Regions from separate parts of the Mus musculus genome. Here regions 2, 3 and 4 are each reported to be linked to region 1. Evidence: microRNA targets listed by miRTarBase, many of them from high-throughput screens and not tested one by one. Region 1 holds a microRNA gene; each other region holds the end of a gene's coding sequence.

Evidence for each region. The annotated mature microRNA mmu-miR-3113-5p reads GUCCUGGCCCUGGUCCGGGUCC and lies in region 1 at 2,209-2,230, opposite strand. An mRNA with a match to its seed (bases 2 to 7 or 8) in the 3' UTR can be bound and repressed. Matches are read on the target gene's strand: a 7mer-m8 pairs with bases 2 to 8, a 7mer-A1 pairs with bases 2 to 7 and ends in A, and an 8mer does both.
Region 2: the mRNA of Crispld1 is a reported target of mmu-miR-3113-5p. Seed matches in the 3' UTR shown: 8mer at 3,138-3,145.
Region 3: miRTarBase lists 2510002D24Rik as a target of mmu-miR-3113-5p. Seed matches in the 3' UTR shown: 7mer-m8 at 2,819-2,825.
Region 4: the mRNA of Arl6ip1 is a reported target of mmu-miR-3113-5p. Seed matches in the 3' UTR shown: 7mer-A1 at 2,624-2,630.

What each region holds. Positions count from the first base shown.
Region 1 is chrX:151,857,805-151,861,804 of GRCm38, reverse strand. Mir3113 (microRNA 3113) reads right to left here and starts at 2,243; the gene lies at 2,168-2,243. It overlaps Huwe1 (HECT, UBA and WWE domain containing 1), which reads right to left. Exons shown (of 83, transcript NM_021523.4): 16 at 3,892-3,997; 17 at 1,537-1,638; 18 at 1,056-1,136.
Region 2 is chr1:17,763,742-17,768,028 of GRCm38, reverse strand. Crispld1 (cysteine-rich secretory protein LCCL domain containing 1) reads right to left here. Exons shown (of 15, transcript NM_031402.2): 15 at 1,822-3,966. The coding sequence ends at 3,915. Among named protein-coding and RNA genes, the nearest start is that of Gm16070, 38 kb to the right of the region's middle.
Region 3 is chr16:18,838,421-18,842,707 of GRCm38, reverse strand. 2510002D24Rik (RIKEN cDNA 2510002D24 gene) reads right to left here. Exons shown (of 3, transcript NM_001033164.2): 3 at 2,595-3,618. The coding sequence ends at 3,493. Among named protein-coding and RNA genes, the nearest start is that of 2510002D24Rik, 4.0 kb to the right of the region's middle.
Region 4 is chr7:118,116,912-118,121,198 of GRCm38, forward strand. Arl6ip1 (ADP-ribosylation factor-like 6 interacting protein 1) reads right to left here. Exons shown (of 6, transcript NM_019419.2): 5 at 4,250-4,287; 6 at 1,979-3,499. The coding sequence ends at 3,381. Among named protein-coding and RNA genes, the nearest start is that of Rps15a, 2.9 kb to the left of the region's middle.

The sequences.
Region 1 (4,000 bases):
ACCAACACTAACAAGCCTTTTTAAAAAAAACTATATTTCTACCATACTAACCTTCTGGTGTGTCTGAAGACAACTACAGTGTACTTACATATAATAAATAAATAAATCTTTAAAAAAAAAAAGAAATGTCAAATTCCTTATTTGTTGAGTTTCAGTGTGTAGTTACTACAGATCACTGTAACCTTGCCACATACTTCCTCGTTAACTTTCCATTTATGAGTATTATTCCCAGATACTTAACTAAAAGCATGTGCAACATCCTTTGTTAAGGCTATTTTTAACTGTCTGTCTGCTATGATACAAATTTTCCCAGTAGGAACTCTTTCAATCTACCTTAGGCTGATTTTCCTTTGTCACAACTCCAACTCCTTTACAGGACCTGACCTGTACTCATATTTAGTAACTGGAATATCATAGATCCAACTACAAAGTATACCTGCTTCATGAAGTTTCACTAAAAAAAGGAAATACTGGGTCATATTGCCATCCTTGGAGTAAATGGAAACATTTTGGTTCATTAACAGGGAAAACCAAACTAGTAAATTCTGCAAGATCACAAGATAGAAATACAGATTCATAAACTGTTTCATTAGCAAAAAGGTAAAGTCATAATAAATACAAATCTCTAGACTGCCCATAATGTATTTGTACAATGTACACTCCACTATGTTCAAAGAAATTGCAATTTCTACATCTCCCCCTAAATTGCTTTATAGAATTTTAAATGGAGTTCCAACTTGCATTTGTGATGCCAAAGTGCGTAGTGGGATAAAACAATGGGCTTTGTAGCATTTACCAGGAAGTGGGAGTAGGTGGGTTGGAAAGCAGGGTCCAGGGTAGGGAGTGGTATAAAGGACTTTTGGGATAGCATTTGAGTTGTAAATGAAAAAATATCTCATAAAAAAAGAAATTAAAAAAAAGTTCTAAAAGCTTGCGTGCACACACATGCAGCAAGCTGGCATTGAACTCAAGAGAACTGACTGCCTTTTGCCTCCAGGTACTTTATAAATGTATGCCAGAACATTCAACCTAGCCCGAACTTCAATTCTACTCACCTAGGAGGAAGAGTGATGGACCATAGTATTCTGCATTGCTGATGATGTGTTTCAGAGAGGTAGGTAAAGAACCATCCATCACTAAAAGAAATATGAACAAAGACCACATATGATAAGTCTGGGTGAGGCACGAAGATCAAGGGTGATGGGTAGCAATATGTTATACTGTAGTAAATAAATGATCAAGTCTATGGCCTCTGTTTCATATAACGCCTTAGTTTATTCATGCAGTTAGCTTGAATAGAGGGTCAAAATAAGAACAGACATGGAGACTATGAGAGGTGGCAGTAGGATAGAAGAGATCAGAATCCAAAGCTGGGAAGTGGAGTTGTGTAAGTAACCCTCATGTCTAAGAAACATATTAAGTAACAAAAAGCTATCAGTTTACTAAGTATGCTTTAGAAAAACATCAAGAAAACATGAAAAAGAACAATCTGGATAACCAAGTGGTCTTAGAAAACAGTATACAGAATCAAAATACCATGTCGTATGCCATCTGAGAAAGCAGGGTCTTGAATGGCCTTCTTGAGGAAATTCAACATGGACTTGAGAAGTGCTGCTCGTTGTGGAATACACTGAACTCCTAACATGGGAGAAAGAAAAAAGTATCATATTGTGCTCATTATTAAATCACAGTGAAGAGGCACACAAAACATGTACTAAGAGACCCGTCTATATCCACTAAAGCAAAACTAGCAGACATTTAAAGTGAGATCTCTGGACATGAGAGAGAGTATTCTGAAAGCTGAAATTAAATCACCAAAGATAGCATATGACCGGTATTAAAATCAGACAGACAGAGGAACAAAAAGAAAAAGATAAAAACAGAAATACTGTAGAGTAAAAAGATTCAACTTCAAACTTCACTTTTGGATATTATCTGCCCTCCGAAATGTCTGTTTTGATACTGTGTGAACTAACAGAAGACCATAAAATGTTGCAAGACATGTTCTTATAAGATTATCCTCAAATGTACCAATAAGTGCCGTGTAATGTTCTCTTCTTCACTAGTTTAATAAGTCAGTCACTGTAAAAGACTGTGTATCTATGTGTCTACGCACCAGGACGGGGTCCAGGGCCAGGACCAGGGCCAGGGCCGGGGCCAGGGCCAGGGCCAGGGCCAGGACCAGGACCAGGGCCAGGACCAGGGCCAGGACCCGGACCAGGGCCAGGACCCGGGCCAGGGCCAGAGATGCTAGTGCTGCTGTTGGAACTTGATGCCCTTAATTCAACATCCAGCCGGTGCTCCATAGATATGGACGAGCCTGGACTGCTTTCCATAGTTACATCTGCAACTAAAGTACAAGTTATGATAAAGAAACTAATTAGAATAAAAGGTACTAAGAAAAGAAAGATTTCTGAGAAAACTTCGTCCACTGAGTGAGATGTAAAACATGCAACTTTGTATGTTACTGCTAAGAGGGAGGTAGTAAGTCAAGACTACTAACAGAGGTTAATTAACAAATATAAAAAGCACTGATGTTCATAGGGAAGGATGGCTATGATACATAGAATGAACAATAAAAGCAGAATGTGTTTGTGCTCTCCTCTCTCTCTGTTCTAAAAACTATATACTTGTAGATGTGAAAATGAAAAGGAAATAAAGTTGTATTGAGTCACATCAAATTAACAGCTAATGGCAGAGGGTTAAGACTGAGCATTAACATTTACTTTTAGATTTGAAAAGCAAATATTTACTATCTACAATGTTTCAGTTATGTAAACTTTAAAGGGGATCTTATTAATTTTATAAATGTAACATTTTAAAGTTATTTTAATGCATGCACCTACTTACACAAGTAGTAAGGACGAACAGCTGTGTAACTTTCTTTGTATTGAGTATGTAATTTCTTTGAGAATTCAATGCAATCGTTTGGATTAGTTTTAAATACTTGTTTCCTGGTCTTCAGTTGCAAATTTACTGAATCAAGCATTTCAGATGGCGCCAGAATCTACCAAGCACTTATTGTTCTGCTTATTAAATTCTGACAATTGCTGATTTACAATGGATAGTCAACAATTATTTATCAGCAGTTAATAAACACATTTTATTCAACACTTGGAATCTCACCTGTGAACTTAAATGTCAGCTTGTTCCCAATAAAACAGAAACAGAAACTGAGCAAAAGGATTTCTGTGGACTGCAACATGCACAGATAATGGTGCCCAAAAACAAAGTCAGAAAAAGGAACAACATACTATTTACTATTAACAAAACGGCGCGTTACATTTGTAGTACTTTTATCATAAACATAGTAAGATACACAATAATAATCTCTGTCATTAAGACTATTGCAAATTATAAGAAATCTGCTTGGGGCAGTATTTTTTATTCTATTATGAATTTTTATTCTATTAGGAAAGAGATGAAAGTGTTAAAAAAAACCCATATAACACACATGAAAACTAAAATGATCTGGTTTTGCAATTGTAATTTTGTCACTTAAAAGATCCCTAAACAATAACCAATTAAAATCTCTGATCTTAAGATAGTTTTCCAAGGTCTCATTTATGAGTTTATAGTCTCCAGGTAATTTATCAGGTAAAAAAAAAAAAAAAAAGACAGTATTTTGACTACACGGTGCTTATTAGGTTTTAGTAGTGTAAATAAGATAATAAACTAAAAAAATGTGTAGAGTGACTTTAGTGGTCTACTGTAGCTTTACCTCCCAGGTCTATCCCTAACAATTTATATATCATTTATATAAAAAGTGTTGAAAGATATACCTGGAAACCTGTGTGCCTTTTAATTTATGAGTAAGAATTAGAATTTGGATAGGATAATAGAAAAATCACATACATGGAAATATCATTGGCTTAATAACTTGTTAATTACCATCCATATCAGTTTCCATTTCTTCTCCTTCTTGAGTGGTACTGGGTCTCTGGATCTTTGGCTTGATCACGAAAGGGCATTCTTTACGACACAAATCTACTTCGTGCTA
Region 2 (4,287 bases), not on the chromosome of region 1:
GAGTACAAGACAGTCAAAAGTCTCAGCATGGATGGGACTTAATTTTTCAATTTAAAAACCCATTTTCTCAGGTGATGGCTATTAAGGGAGGGAAAGTTACTCTTCTTGGTGCTGGGAGGATTAGTAGACTGCCCATACCCATCACCTCATACCTCTTCATATATAGGAAGTGCTAACTGAATTTAGTTGGTTTTATAAAACAGAGATATGAAACTGAGAAGGAGCTGTGTTGGGAAAAGTTTCCTCAGGGGAGTCGGAGGGAGGGATTGATGGATAGCTATGACCAAAATGAATTGTGAACATATATGACATTCTCATAGAATAAAACATTAAGAGAAAAAATGGCCATTGGCATATGCAAACTAGCTAAAAATTAGAATAGCAATTTGTTTTTGTTTAAAATACACTGATTATTTCAATGGATGGAAAACTACAGTAAGTAACATAAGGTCTACTCAGGTTTTCAAGGTCCACTAGTGATATGAATACTATTCTATAAACATTGGCCTTTGAAAAAGAATCTAAATACAGAGCAGCTGGCACGTTAGTAGCTTCTATTATGTTGTCATCACAAAAAAAATGAGGAACCACTAGTGTTCATTCAACTGTGTTCATTCAACCACTAGTGTTCATTCATTCACTTATACAAAGCAATTTTGATCTGAATAAAAATCAGTCATATAATTGTACTGTGTGGCAGAGAAAATGGATTCCTAGGTCGGGTAGATCCTACATTCTCAGAATCTACCATTCTCATATCGTTCATTCTTTTTAAAAAGATTCTGAATTACACTTTTTTTTTCCTCACATAAGCTGTATATACCAACCGCTCTCAATCCCCTCCTTTACATCTTGTCTCCCTCAAAAAATCCCAAGTTCAAGTCTATTTATCTTGTTTCTCAACCCATTGAGATTAATATAACAAATGGTTTGCAGCTACCACACCTTAGTGGACTCAGCAGTAGATACAAAACTAAAAGCAGGGGAGTCCCTTTCTTTTAGAATTCACCTGTGTGCACTGGCTCAGAGCTGTGCTGCTTCATTTGTTTTAAATTTGATACAAACATGAGTCACCTGGGAAAAGAGAATCTCAGTTGAGGAATTACCTTCATTCAATTTGCTTGCGTACAATTCTGTGGGACACTTTCTTAGTGCACAATAGATGTGGGAGAATCCAGTTCGTTATGTGTGGTAATAGCTACTAGTAATCAGCTCACCTCAATGGTCTCTACTTCAGGTTCTTGTAATGGCTTTCTTCAACAACCCATAAGCCAAAGAAATCCTTTCCTTCTTAAGCTGCTTTTGCTTTCATTAACAGCAACCTAGCTAAGAAGAGGGAGATGTGGAGATTCATGTGGGTGTCTCCTTCCTCGACTGATTTTTGATAAGTCATTTTTGTGTGGGCCCCTGTAGGTAAGTACAATTTTCATGAGCTGACCATTGCATTGGTTGGAGAAGTCTGGAAAACCGTTTCCTATCTCTGTACTCTATCTTCCAGCTCAATACTTCCTACTTCCTCTTGCACAGTGTGTCCTGAGCCTTACAAGAATAGTATCCCTGCTTTGATAGAACTGACCCCACAGCTGACACTTGGGCAGCCAAGAAAAAGAAAAACATTAGACTTTTAAAAACTGTACATAATATGAAGACAATTTATAATAATATAGACAAATTAAAGGGTTTTATAATAGACAGTATTTAATTCATATCAAAAGAACTGTAGGGAAATTTCTGCAAGATTTCATATTTGGTGAGGCATCCTTCAAAGAATGAACTTAGACGAACTAAGGATGATGAATAAGGGATAGAGAAAGTCATCTTTTGAAAATGATCAGTTTTTAATATGTTCACCAACAGAAGCACTATAATATGCGAGGTGAACAGTTTTTTCATGGAAAATGAAAATAAAAATGAGAATAACAAAAACTAAGATATGGTATATTGCGTGCCCAATATTGTCTTTTACCACATCATACTACACTTTTATTTTCACACATACGCTGTATATACCAACCACCCTCAATCCCCTCCCTTCCATCTCTTCCCCCTCAAAAATGTCTCAGTCTCTATAAACTGAACTAGAGAGCAGTCTACAGAACCTTAGCCTGGCAAAAGGGATGGAAATTCTCCAGGAAGAAGAGTTCCCAGAACACAGAGGATGAAAGACACATGCAACCACGCACACACATGCAGGAAAGTTACGATTAAACACTTGTATAAAATGTCCTATGAAATCTAGTTCTCTATAAAGTGAAAATACCCAGTATGGAGAAAATTGATAATGTGTATTTTGGGAAAAAATAATTCTAGAACACTATGTTTTAAAACTCTTGATTTCCCTTTGAGCAATTTAACTGTCTGCTAATCCTCAAGAAATGACCAGGCAATTTTGCCTTATTCTTAAACTACTTTTCTGAAATTACTTCTGACACTCTGCTTTTCATTTTTCTTTTGTATTACCCAGTTCCTTTCCCTGATCCCTGCATTCAAATTATCTCCATTGTATTGGCTTCTATATCCCTACTCATATAAAAATATTTGAAGTAGTTATTTTCTACTCAGCTCTTCCATAATTATAATCATTACCTTGTTGTCTGATACTTCATTTCTTTTTTATTAAATTCATAGCACTCCTCTTATTCAACATTTCTCTTGTTATAATGTTTCTAAATAAATGACTATTTTTCCAAAAAGCAAATCTCTGCATGATTAGGTAGAAATTGTGCATTTCTACTAGGAACCACTTATTTATATTGATGTCAGTAAGTCAATTTAGATAAATAAAATCAACTCTGTTTTTTTTTTTTTAGAATGATTCCAAGTCAAACCATGCATGTAAAAGTAAAAATAATCTTTTTGAAACTTATTACTTTTAATATTCTTATGGAAAAATTCACCAGCAGGAATAAAAAATACCCTAACATTTTACAGAATTTAAGTATCAAAGCACATATATTTTCACAGAAACAAATGCATCACTACCATAGGATCACACTAATGAAAGGTTTATACATAAAGCTGTTTACCATTATGAAAACCAGTGGTAATAATAATATAATGCACCAGTTCGTTAGTCTCTCTCTCTCTCTCTCTCTCTCTCTCTCTCTCTCTCTCTCTCTCTCTCTCTTTAATTATACTTCCTGGCCTGCAGAAGTACCTGCCAGGATACAAATGAAAAAAGATGAAAAAAGTGAACTCAGTTCAAATAACAACTCTGTCAGCAAGCTCTGACTGCCATCTCCCCCTCTAGTTACTACATGATTCCATCACACTGCTTGGGCTTTCCCCACATGCCAGTGTGGCCCCTCCCAAGGAACCAAATATTCTCACTTGGAAATTAAAAGACTATTTTAATACAAAATAACAAGTGCCACATCAGGACTTAATATTCTGCACAATGAAACTTAACACAAGAGAAAAAACTGCCCAGTCCTAAGGGTAAGGCAGATAGAGATTTAAAATAGGTCAGAACTGAATACTGGACTGGTTTGAAAAACAAAAGTGACTTAAAAGTTTCATTTAGTTTTCAGGCTGATTGCTTTTCAATGCACAGATAATTCTCTAAGGGCCATTCACAGTCACTTTAGATATACTTCATCAGTGGCATATACAAAGCACCATATAATATAAGAAATGTAGAACATCATGACTATGTAATTAACTGTAGAAATAACTGCTAAGAAAATATAGCAATATTTAACACAGGATTTCTAAAACCATTAATGTTCATTAATTTCCCCAAAGCTAATATTTTATTTTATAGACTTTGTCTATCAAGAGTGGCCCGCATTTGTAGTCTCATGGTGGGCTGGCAATACGTTTTCTCTTCTGTACAGCAATGTTACAGTTGTATACAGACATCAGAAATGTGGCATTTGGAGCAGGCTTTCTGTTACCCTTCCAAGTGTTCCCGGTCAAACAACAGCGAATACACGGAATGCCTTTCCTCCTGTAGGGTTCTGTAAACTGCAAGAACACAAAAGGGACATCAAGGTCATCTGTACATATAATCCTTCCAATACATCTTGCTCTGTGAGGACATTGAAGCAAGGAGCTCCATGAAGTCAGATGGACCAACTGTCTCAGACTACCATCATTTACTGTTCTGGGGAAGCTCTGGTAAGGATGACATAATCGTCTAGGTAGTGGCTGGACTGAACATTACTAAAGTAAATTGAGAAGCTCACGAAGGACAGTAGACACTCCACAGTTTCACAGCATTGGGGGCATGTTATTATGAATTGCCCCGTAAGTTCTAATACAGTGGAGTTAGGCAGCTGCTCTTTC
Region 3 (4,287 bases), not on the chromosome of region 1:
ACCATGTAGAGACTGCCATAGCCAGGGATCCACCCCATAATCAGCATCCAAACGCTGACACCATTGCATACACTAGCAAGATTTTATTGAAAGGACGCAGATGTAGCTGTCTCTTGTGAGACTATGCCGGGGCCCAGCAAACACAGAAGTGGATGCTCACAGTCAGCTAATGGATGGATCATAGGGCTCCCAATGGAGGAGCTAGAGAAAGTAGCCAAGGAGCTAAAGGGATCTGCAACCCTATAGGTGGAACAACATTATGAGCTAACCAGTACCCCGGAGCTCTTGACTCTAGCTGCATATATATCAAAAGATGGCCTAGTCGGCCATCACTGGAAAGAGAGGCCCATTGGACTTGCAAACTTTTTTTTTTTTTTTTTTAAAGAGTTATTTATTTATTATATATAAGTACACTGTAGCTGTCTTCAGACACTCCAGAAGAGGGAGTCAGATCTCGTGATCGGATGGTTGTGAGCCACCATGTGGTTGCTGGGATTTGAACTCCTGACCTTCGGAAGAGCAGTCGGGTGCTCTTACCCACTGAGCCATCTCACCAGCCCGGACTTGCAAACTTTATATGCCCCAGTACAGGGGAATACCAGGGCCAAAAAGGGGGAGTGGGTGGGCAGGGGAGTGGGGGTGGGTGGATATGGGGGACTTTTGGTATAGCATTGGAAATGTAAATGAGTTAAATACCTAATAAAAAATGGAAAAAAAAAAGAAATAAATCTCTAAAACATTAAAAAAATAAAGAAACCTCTATGAGACCTAGTGTTCTTGTGTGTGTATGTATGTGTCTATGTGTATGTACATGCACGTCTGTGTATGTGTGCTTGTATGAATGTATGCACTTTTAAAAAATTAGGTATTTTCTTCATTTACATTTTAAATGCTATCCCAAAAGTCCCCCATACCCTCCCCTCTTACTCCCTAACCCACCCACTCCCACTTCTTGGCCCTGGCGTTCCCCTGTACTGAGGCATATAAAGTTTGCAAGACTAAGGGGCTTCTCTTCCCAATGATGGCCAATTAGGCCATCTTCTGAATGTATGCACTTTTGTAAGTGTGTTTGAGTGTATGCATTCATGTATGCATGTGTATGTATGTGACTGCTTATTCAGCTATATGAGTACACACGTGTGTATGTTGTATACATGGGTGTATTGTGCATACTCATTCATGTGCACATGCATGAGTGCATGTTTGTGTGCACATGTGTGTGTGTGCATGTGTGTTCATGAGTATAGTATATGCATGTGTGCATGCTCACAAATGTGCACACATGTGTGGACTTATGTTCATGCATATATTTTTGTGTATGCATGCAGCCACACATGTGTATATTTAAGTATATATTTAAAACACTATAAGAGAACAAAATAATAATCTGAGTATATAGCATATAGCATTGTTGGTTATATAGCTGTATGTCCACTTGACACAAGGTAGCAATGGTTCTTAACCTGTGGGTCTCGACATCTTTAGGGGTTGAACAACCCTTTCACAGGGGTTGTATATCAGGTATCCTGCATATCAGAGATTTACATTCCGATTTAATTAATTAATTAATTAATTAATTAATTATATGTAAGTACACTGTAGCTGGTCATGGTGGTTTTTGTTTGTTTGGTTTTGTTTTTAAATATTTGTTTGTTTGTTTGTTTATTATATAAAAGTACACTGTAGCTGTCTTCAGACACACCAGAAAAGGTTGTCAGATCTCATTACAGATGGTTGTGAGCCACCATGTGGTTGCTGGGAATTGAACTCAGGACCTCTGGAAGAGCAGTCAGTGCTCTTCTTAACCGCTGAGCCATCTCACCAGCCCACATTCTGATTTATAACAGTAGCAAAATTACAGTTATGAAGTAGCAATGAAAATAATTTTATGGTTTGGGCATTACTACAACATGAGGAACTGTATAAAAGGGTCACAGCCTTAGGAAGGTTGACAACCACTGAGCTAGGTTATCTGAAAGGAGGGAACCTTAGTTGAGAATGCTGCTGCTATAAATTCCAGCTGTAGGGCATTTTCTTTTTTTTTTTTTTTTTTTAAAGATTTATTTATTTATTATATGTAAGTACACTGTAGCTGTCTTCAGACACTCCATAAGAGGAAGTCAGATCTCATTAGGATGGTTGTGAGCCACCATGTGGTTGCTGGGATTTGAACTCTGGACCTTCAGAAGAGCAGTCGGGTGCTCTTACCCACTGAGCCATCTCACCAGCCCCTGTAGGGCATTTTCTTAATTAGTAATTGATGGGGAGGGTCCCACCCTTGGTGGGTGGTGCTATCACTGGACTGGTGGTCCTGAGTTCTGTAAGAAAGCAGGCTGAGCAATCCTTGAGGAGCAAGCCAGGAAACAGCACCCCTCCAGAGCCTCTGTATTACCTCCTGCCTCTGGTTTCTGCCTTGTTTGAGTCTCTATCTTGATTTTGGAATACAATGTGGAAATATAATCTGAATAAATTAAATCCTTTCCTCCCCAGCTTGCTTTTGGTCATGGTGTTTCAAAGCAGCAATAGAAACCCTAATTGAGACAGGTATAAAGTGTCACATGGCTTTAATTTTCAGGTTGCTTTTGGAATCAAACATGTGAAGCAGCTTTTTTAAAAAAATACATTAACAATGAGGAGAAATCAGGAGACCTAAACCCCATAGTCCTTGGACCTGAGCTCTGTCTGTGCCTTGGGACTTGGATGTCTTGATTCCAGACTCCTTGGTTCCTGCAATGCTGTCTGTCTGTCTGTCTTTCTTTTTTTTGTTGTTGTTTTTTTTTTTTTTTTTTTTTCTCGAGACAGGGTTTCTCTGTGTAGCTCCTGGCTGTCCTGGAACTCACTCTGTAGACCAGGCTGGCCTGCCTCTGTCTCCCGAGTGCTGGGATTAAAGGCGTGGGCCACCACCACCCAGTTCTCTCTCTCTCTCTCTCTCTCTCTCTCTCTCTCTCTCTCTTTCTTTCAAAGTCTGCAAAACCAGTAAAAGGTGCTGGTGCAGAGGACAAGTTGCCTACCCACTGAGCATGCTCTTCCGTGTCTCCAGGGAAGCTGAGCAAGCATGAGCTCCGCACTTGCATACCACGATAATCACTAGACAAGACATTGCAGTCCATCTCTCATGGCCAAGGAGGGTCATTCATAATCAAAATAAGGTAGTCTAGCAACCTTATTCTAACTACTGTGCCCTGGATCCACACAGGTTGGGGCTGCCACTGTGTACTTGAGATTTTCACAACTCTCGGCTGCCACATCTGGTGTTGATGTTCTCAGGGGAGATGGCATGGACAGAATGGACCCACCTGAGTGCTCACAGACACCTGCCTCAGTGCTTGGCTTCCAGCATGTGCACACAGGTGTCTTTCAGAGTATTACAGTGATGAAATGCCCAGATCCAGTGGGCAGCAGGCAATTAGGGCTGGAAATGCTTTGCTCTGTGTTCCAGGTCAAGTAAGAGCCAGTCAAAGTCTAGGTCAAGGGTAGGGTTGCAGTTGCTTATCACTTGTCCTTCTCCTGTGGTAGAGGGAGGTTCCAGTCCGTAGGGGGCCTTTGCCTCAAGGCCCATACCAAGGTGTGCTTCTGAGCAGCCTGGACCCGAACCTGCTCGCTCTCACAGAGGGATCGCTGTACAAATGAGACTTGGTCACTTACTGTTTCACCACTGGATCCTAGGGCTCTTAGTACTGCTGCATGGCACCTATATCACCCTCTTCCTCAACACTCTTCTGAAGAGAGGAACACATGGGAGCACATGGTACACACAGGCTCAGCTGCTTCTATACCACACTCCTTGGCAACTGTTCTGTTTTAGCACACACCGGTCATCTTACTTCAGCAGTTTTATTTTGTGTTCTTTGGACATGTTTTAGACAGGGTCTCAAGTAGCCCAGGCTGGTCTCAAGATCACTATGTATGACCTTCAATTCTGAGATTGTTGTCTCCACCTCCCGAGTGCCGCAATTATAAGCATGCACAACTATGTTCAGTCTCTGCCTTCAGCCATGCAAAACCCGCTAAGCCTCAGCAACAGCAGACCTGGAGAGTGTGGAGCTAGTTACCCGCCTAGCCTGGGAGTGAGGACACTGGGTGGGGAAGAGAGGGAGAGCGTCTAAAATTACTGTTGGACTCTGCACAGGGTATGTGTAAAAGGTGCCCCCCATCCTGCCAGCTTCTTTCAGCCACTGCCAACAGACACTAGACAGTGTATTATGACAGGGCTGATCCTGGCAAAGTGTCAGGTGCTATGTAGGCCTCTTTACAAACATTCTTAAACTGGGAGCGGTAGTATTCCCA
Region 4 (4,287 bases), not on the chromosome of region 1:
TGTCTGCTTCACTTTTGTAACTGGGGTTACACTCCTCCTCCTCCTCCTCCTCCTCCTCCTCCTCCTCCTCCTCCTCCTCCTCCTCCTCCTCCTATTATGCAGCCCTGTGATCTGTCTGCCTCACTTCTGTAACTGGGGTTACACCTCAAGTGAATCTGTTGACTCCTAGCCTGGACCATTAAGCTTCAAGCCTACAGAGGTTCGGGAAGCTTCGTTCATTGCTGTTCACACTAAGTCTGGAGAAGCATCTGCCACATAGTAGGTCCTCGACATATAGTTGAAGAAAAAACTGAATGGACAAATCAGTTTCTCCATCTCTAAAACAGGGATGATAGAACCACTCAGAGGAGCTTTTGAGAGACCACACAAATGTGGCAGTGCTCAGCAGTGTTTGGCACAAGATTTATTTCCCCCAGAGGAACAAAGGACAGGGAATGAGAGACAAAGACAGGAGATAGAAGGTGAGGGAGAGGGGAACAAGGGAGAGGGAGGGAAAGGATGTAAGTCCTGGGAACAAAGAACTGCCTCTGCATAGAGAGGAGACAGGTGTGGCCCTTGAGCAAACGACAGTTTATGAGGGTAAAGGGGGAAAAAACCTCTTGTTAGGATGAAGTGTCTAACTCTGGTTAGACACGTTAATTAGGGTAGCTGCAAGGGGACTTTTGGTTGCTGGACCTCCATCCTTTGAAAGCTGGACCTTGGTAGTCAGCCTCAGAAGGAAGTGAGCAAATAAGTGACCAAATAAGAGAGCTTTAGGAATGTAACCTAATAGTTTTTAGAAAAGAGGAAGGGAGAAGAAAAAGGCCCGCCAGAACCATCTTTGTCATGCTCTGGCCGCCAGAGTCCCCTTCATCTTCTCTCACAACAGGGGAAGTCTTCATTCCCAGTCATAATTCACCCCACAAAAGGACCACAGGCTTTCCCAAGGTTTATAAGGATTTTGAGCACAGGTCTATTTCAGACTGACCTCAAACTCACATCCAGTCTCCCAATTTCCTTAACATGGACCCAATAGGAATGACTTCAGGAATTCAGATCAAAGCAGCAGTGGGGAGGGGTGGTAGTTAATGAATCTGAGATCCTAGTTAGTTCTGTGGGGATTTGGCTAGCTGATCCCAGTGTTGTGACCTTGGTGTGCCACAGAATCTAGATGGCCCCAGGCTGATGAGCTCCTAGAGGGGGTGTGTGTATGTGTGTGCACTTGTATAGAAATTGGGAAATTTGGGGTGGCTGGGCTGGAGGGAAGTGGAAAAAAAAGAACCCAGTAAAAACTGACTCACGTTTGTGATTTGTTAGAGGCAAATTAGAACTAATCAAAGATGAGCTGCTGGCATTTAACTACACCTTACAGACACTTAAAAACTAGGTTGGGTGAAGTGACACATGACTGTTTGAGGTGAAGGCAGAAGGGCCAGGAGTCCAAGGCCTACCCAGGCTTTCTGTGAGCCTGTCTAGAAGTACCAAAGGCCCAGACCTACAGGGCACAGATCCTAATGTCTGTCTCCATGTGAGCCTGAATGTGAGAGAACCTCAGGAGGGCACTCAGACACAGCTGACCTGAGCAATTACCACAATGAGAGAACAGAGTTTTCTTTTGTGATTTTAAACTTTTGAAGTCTTCCCATGAAGTCAGGGCTGGCCGCAAGAGATTACAAGTCAGCAATTTCAAAGCCATAGGATTTGTGACTTTACTTGAACTTGCAGAAAGGGAAGTATGCTTAAGGGTGGATGGAGCCTGTTCCCAATGAGACCGCAAGTTATGACACCCAAATTTTAAAAGGCAGACAAATGATTATCAACTACTGATGATTATCAACCACCTGCTTTGGGAGCTTAAGTACACGATCTTTTGAGTCTCCACTGTCTCCTCCTCTTCAGTGTTCTCCCTTTCCATCTGACATGGGTACCTTAGAGAAGAGCTCCAATGACAACAGGTGGTCACTAGTTAGATTCATAAACTCAGAGTTAACAAAGAAAGTGAGACAAAAGGGTTCCAACTGGTTTTTAATTTTTCCCCTTTACCACAAAACAAAGAAGAAATGATTAAAACTGCCAAAGTAGTTAACTCGTAGAACATGTATTAGTCACACACACACAAATTCCAGGTAGGAAGGCAGGCTTATTTACAAGAAAACATGTAAAATCAAAGTGGGAGTCATGAAACATTAAAAAACAAACACACATGCTACAAGAGGCACCGCTGCTTACAGTGCTAGGGAGGTGAGAGAACAGATACACACAGGGGCAGGCTTCACAGCATCAGTGCATGGATCCACAAACTATGTTACAGCTAGTTCATGGGTTAAGGAGTTGTTCCCAAATGTCCTATTTTGGCCCTCAGAGGTTCAGTTCTGCAGATTTCAACTGCTCTAAAAGCCCCCTACTGAGAGGGCACGTGATCACAGTAAGCTTAAAGAGTTGCAAAAGCTAGGCAGACCAGAGTCACCAATCAGCAGTCTGCTCTCAGCTGCAGCCCTGCATTTTTCTGAGAAATGTCAAGGGGAAAGTCAAACAGCAGTAAACACTTGTCTCTCAAGTGCAAAGCTGGAGGCACTGAAATACAGCCAATACTACGAAAACAAGTGAGATTTTCCAGGCTTACTCTTAAGCCTCTTTTTTTTTTTTCCTGGTCTTAAATATTAATAGATAATCTAGTTTTCTACTCATTGAACAAAGGATACTTTTATCCCTGGCTGCCCTTACAGGAAAGTCACAAACATTTTAAGTCAGCTGACAATCTGAAACAAAGAAACTGCTACAATCCTCAAATATAATCTTCTGAAAGCTTGCTGCTCAAAGGCCATTATGGACTAGAACTAACCTGAAGCAGTGCAAAGGGAATGAGAGGTCAGTCAAAGCCTGCCAGTCCTCACAGGAACAAAGGGGCAATGCTCCCTCAAACTGTTGCATTTCCTATGAGCGAGGAACTTACACACACTAGGGTGTGGAATTAATTTTTTATCTTATTCCATGGGTATTCTCCCACAGTGGAAACTCAGGAATGAATTTTAAGTGGTCTCCTCAGCAGAAGTGGTAAACCCAATCTCTGTACTCACAAAGACAGTTTGTTAAGCAGACAGTAGAACCAGCTTCCTGTAGCCACAGACCACTGCCTTGAATATAGCTAAAGCAAACATCAACAAAGTCACAGTTCACTGTACAAAACAGTAAAGTTCACCACTTAGCATCTTAAAGGAAGGAAGTTGTCAAAATGAAAGGAAGTCACACTGACGGGGAATGTACCCAGCTACACCTGGCACTAGAGCCCGCACAGAGCCTGGCCTGTGAGAATTTCTATTAACAAGGGCAGAGTGAGGGAAGCAACGAGCCACTGTAACACTTCAGTGCCCAGGGCCAGGGCACACTCCGCGGCAGCCACACTACTCATTTTTCTTTTCTTTTTGCTTGAGAAGTTTGTTTATCTCCCTTTTGGCCATTCCAATGTACTTCAGAATGATCCCATGTTGGTTTAGTCCAGGAAGCAACAGCACAAATGTCACTAGAAATGAAAAAAAAAAAAATGAAGTTGAGGAGACAATATTTAACTCTCTGAAGATGACTACAGTTGAATGTGGGTGGACTGTGGAGAAGTGACACAAAAGCCATCCAACAGGATTCAGCCCAAAACTGCAGCCAAGGTGCCTCCTGAAGGTGCACTCACGCTCACACTACAGTGCCTTCTATCTCACTCCTCTTTGCTCACGACCTACCTGGCTTTAATGAACTCCAGGAAAACAGAGACCAGTCTTTTTAAAAAAGATTTGTATTTTATGTGTATACACAAGTGCTTTGTCTAGAAGCATATATGTGGAATATATGTGTGCCCAGTGCCCACAAAATCCAGCAGAGGCTATCAGATGCCCTGAGACTAGAGTCATAGGTTGCTGTGAGCCAGGAATTGAACCAAGCATGTTTTTAGCCATGGAGCTCTATCTTAAGCCCTGACTTGAATCTCTAGCTGGGCTGGTTTTGAACCCGACCTGTAGCATATAGAAAGGGATGACCTTGAACTTCTACTCCTTCTGCATCTAGGGCTGGAATGACAGCTTTATCCAGTACTGGGCATCAAACCCAGGCCTTGGTGACACAGGGCACAATCTGAGCTGTGACCCAGCACAGACTGGAACCTTTCCTTCTCACCTTGCCCCACTCCCATAGGTCCTGTGAAAACTCAATCTATTTACTGACTACACACCACAGTCAGACTTCCCTGCTAAGTTGAACATGTGATGTTTCTTCAACGACTTACCAATCAGGTAGGTGAGAAGCAGGTTGTGAACTTGCTGT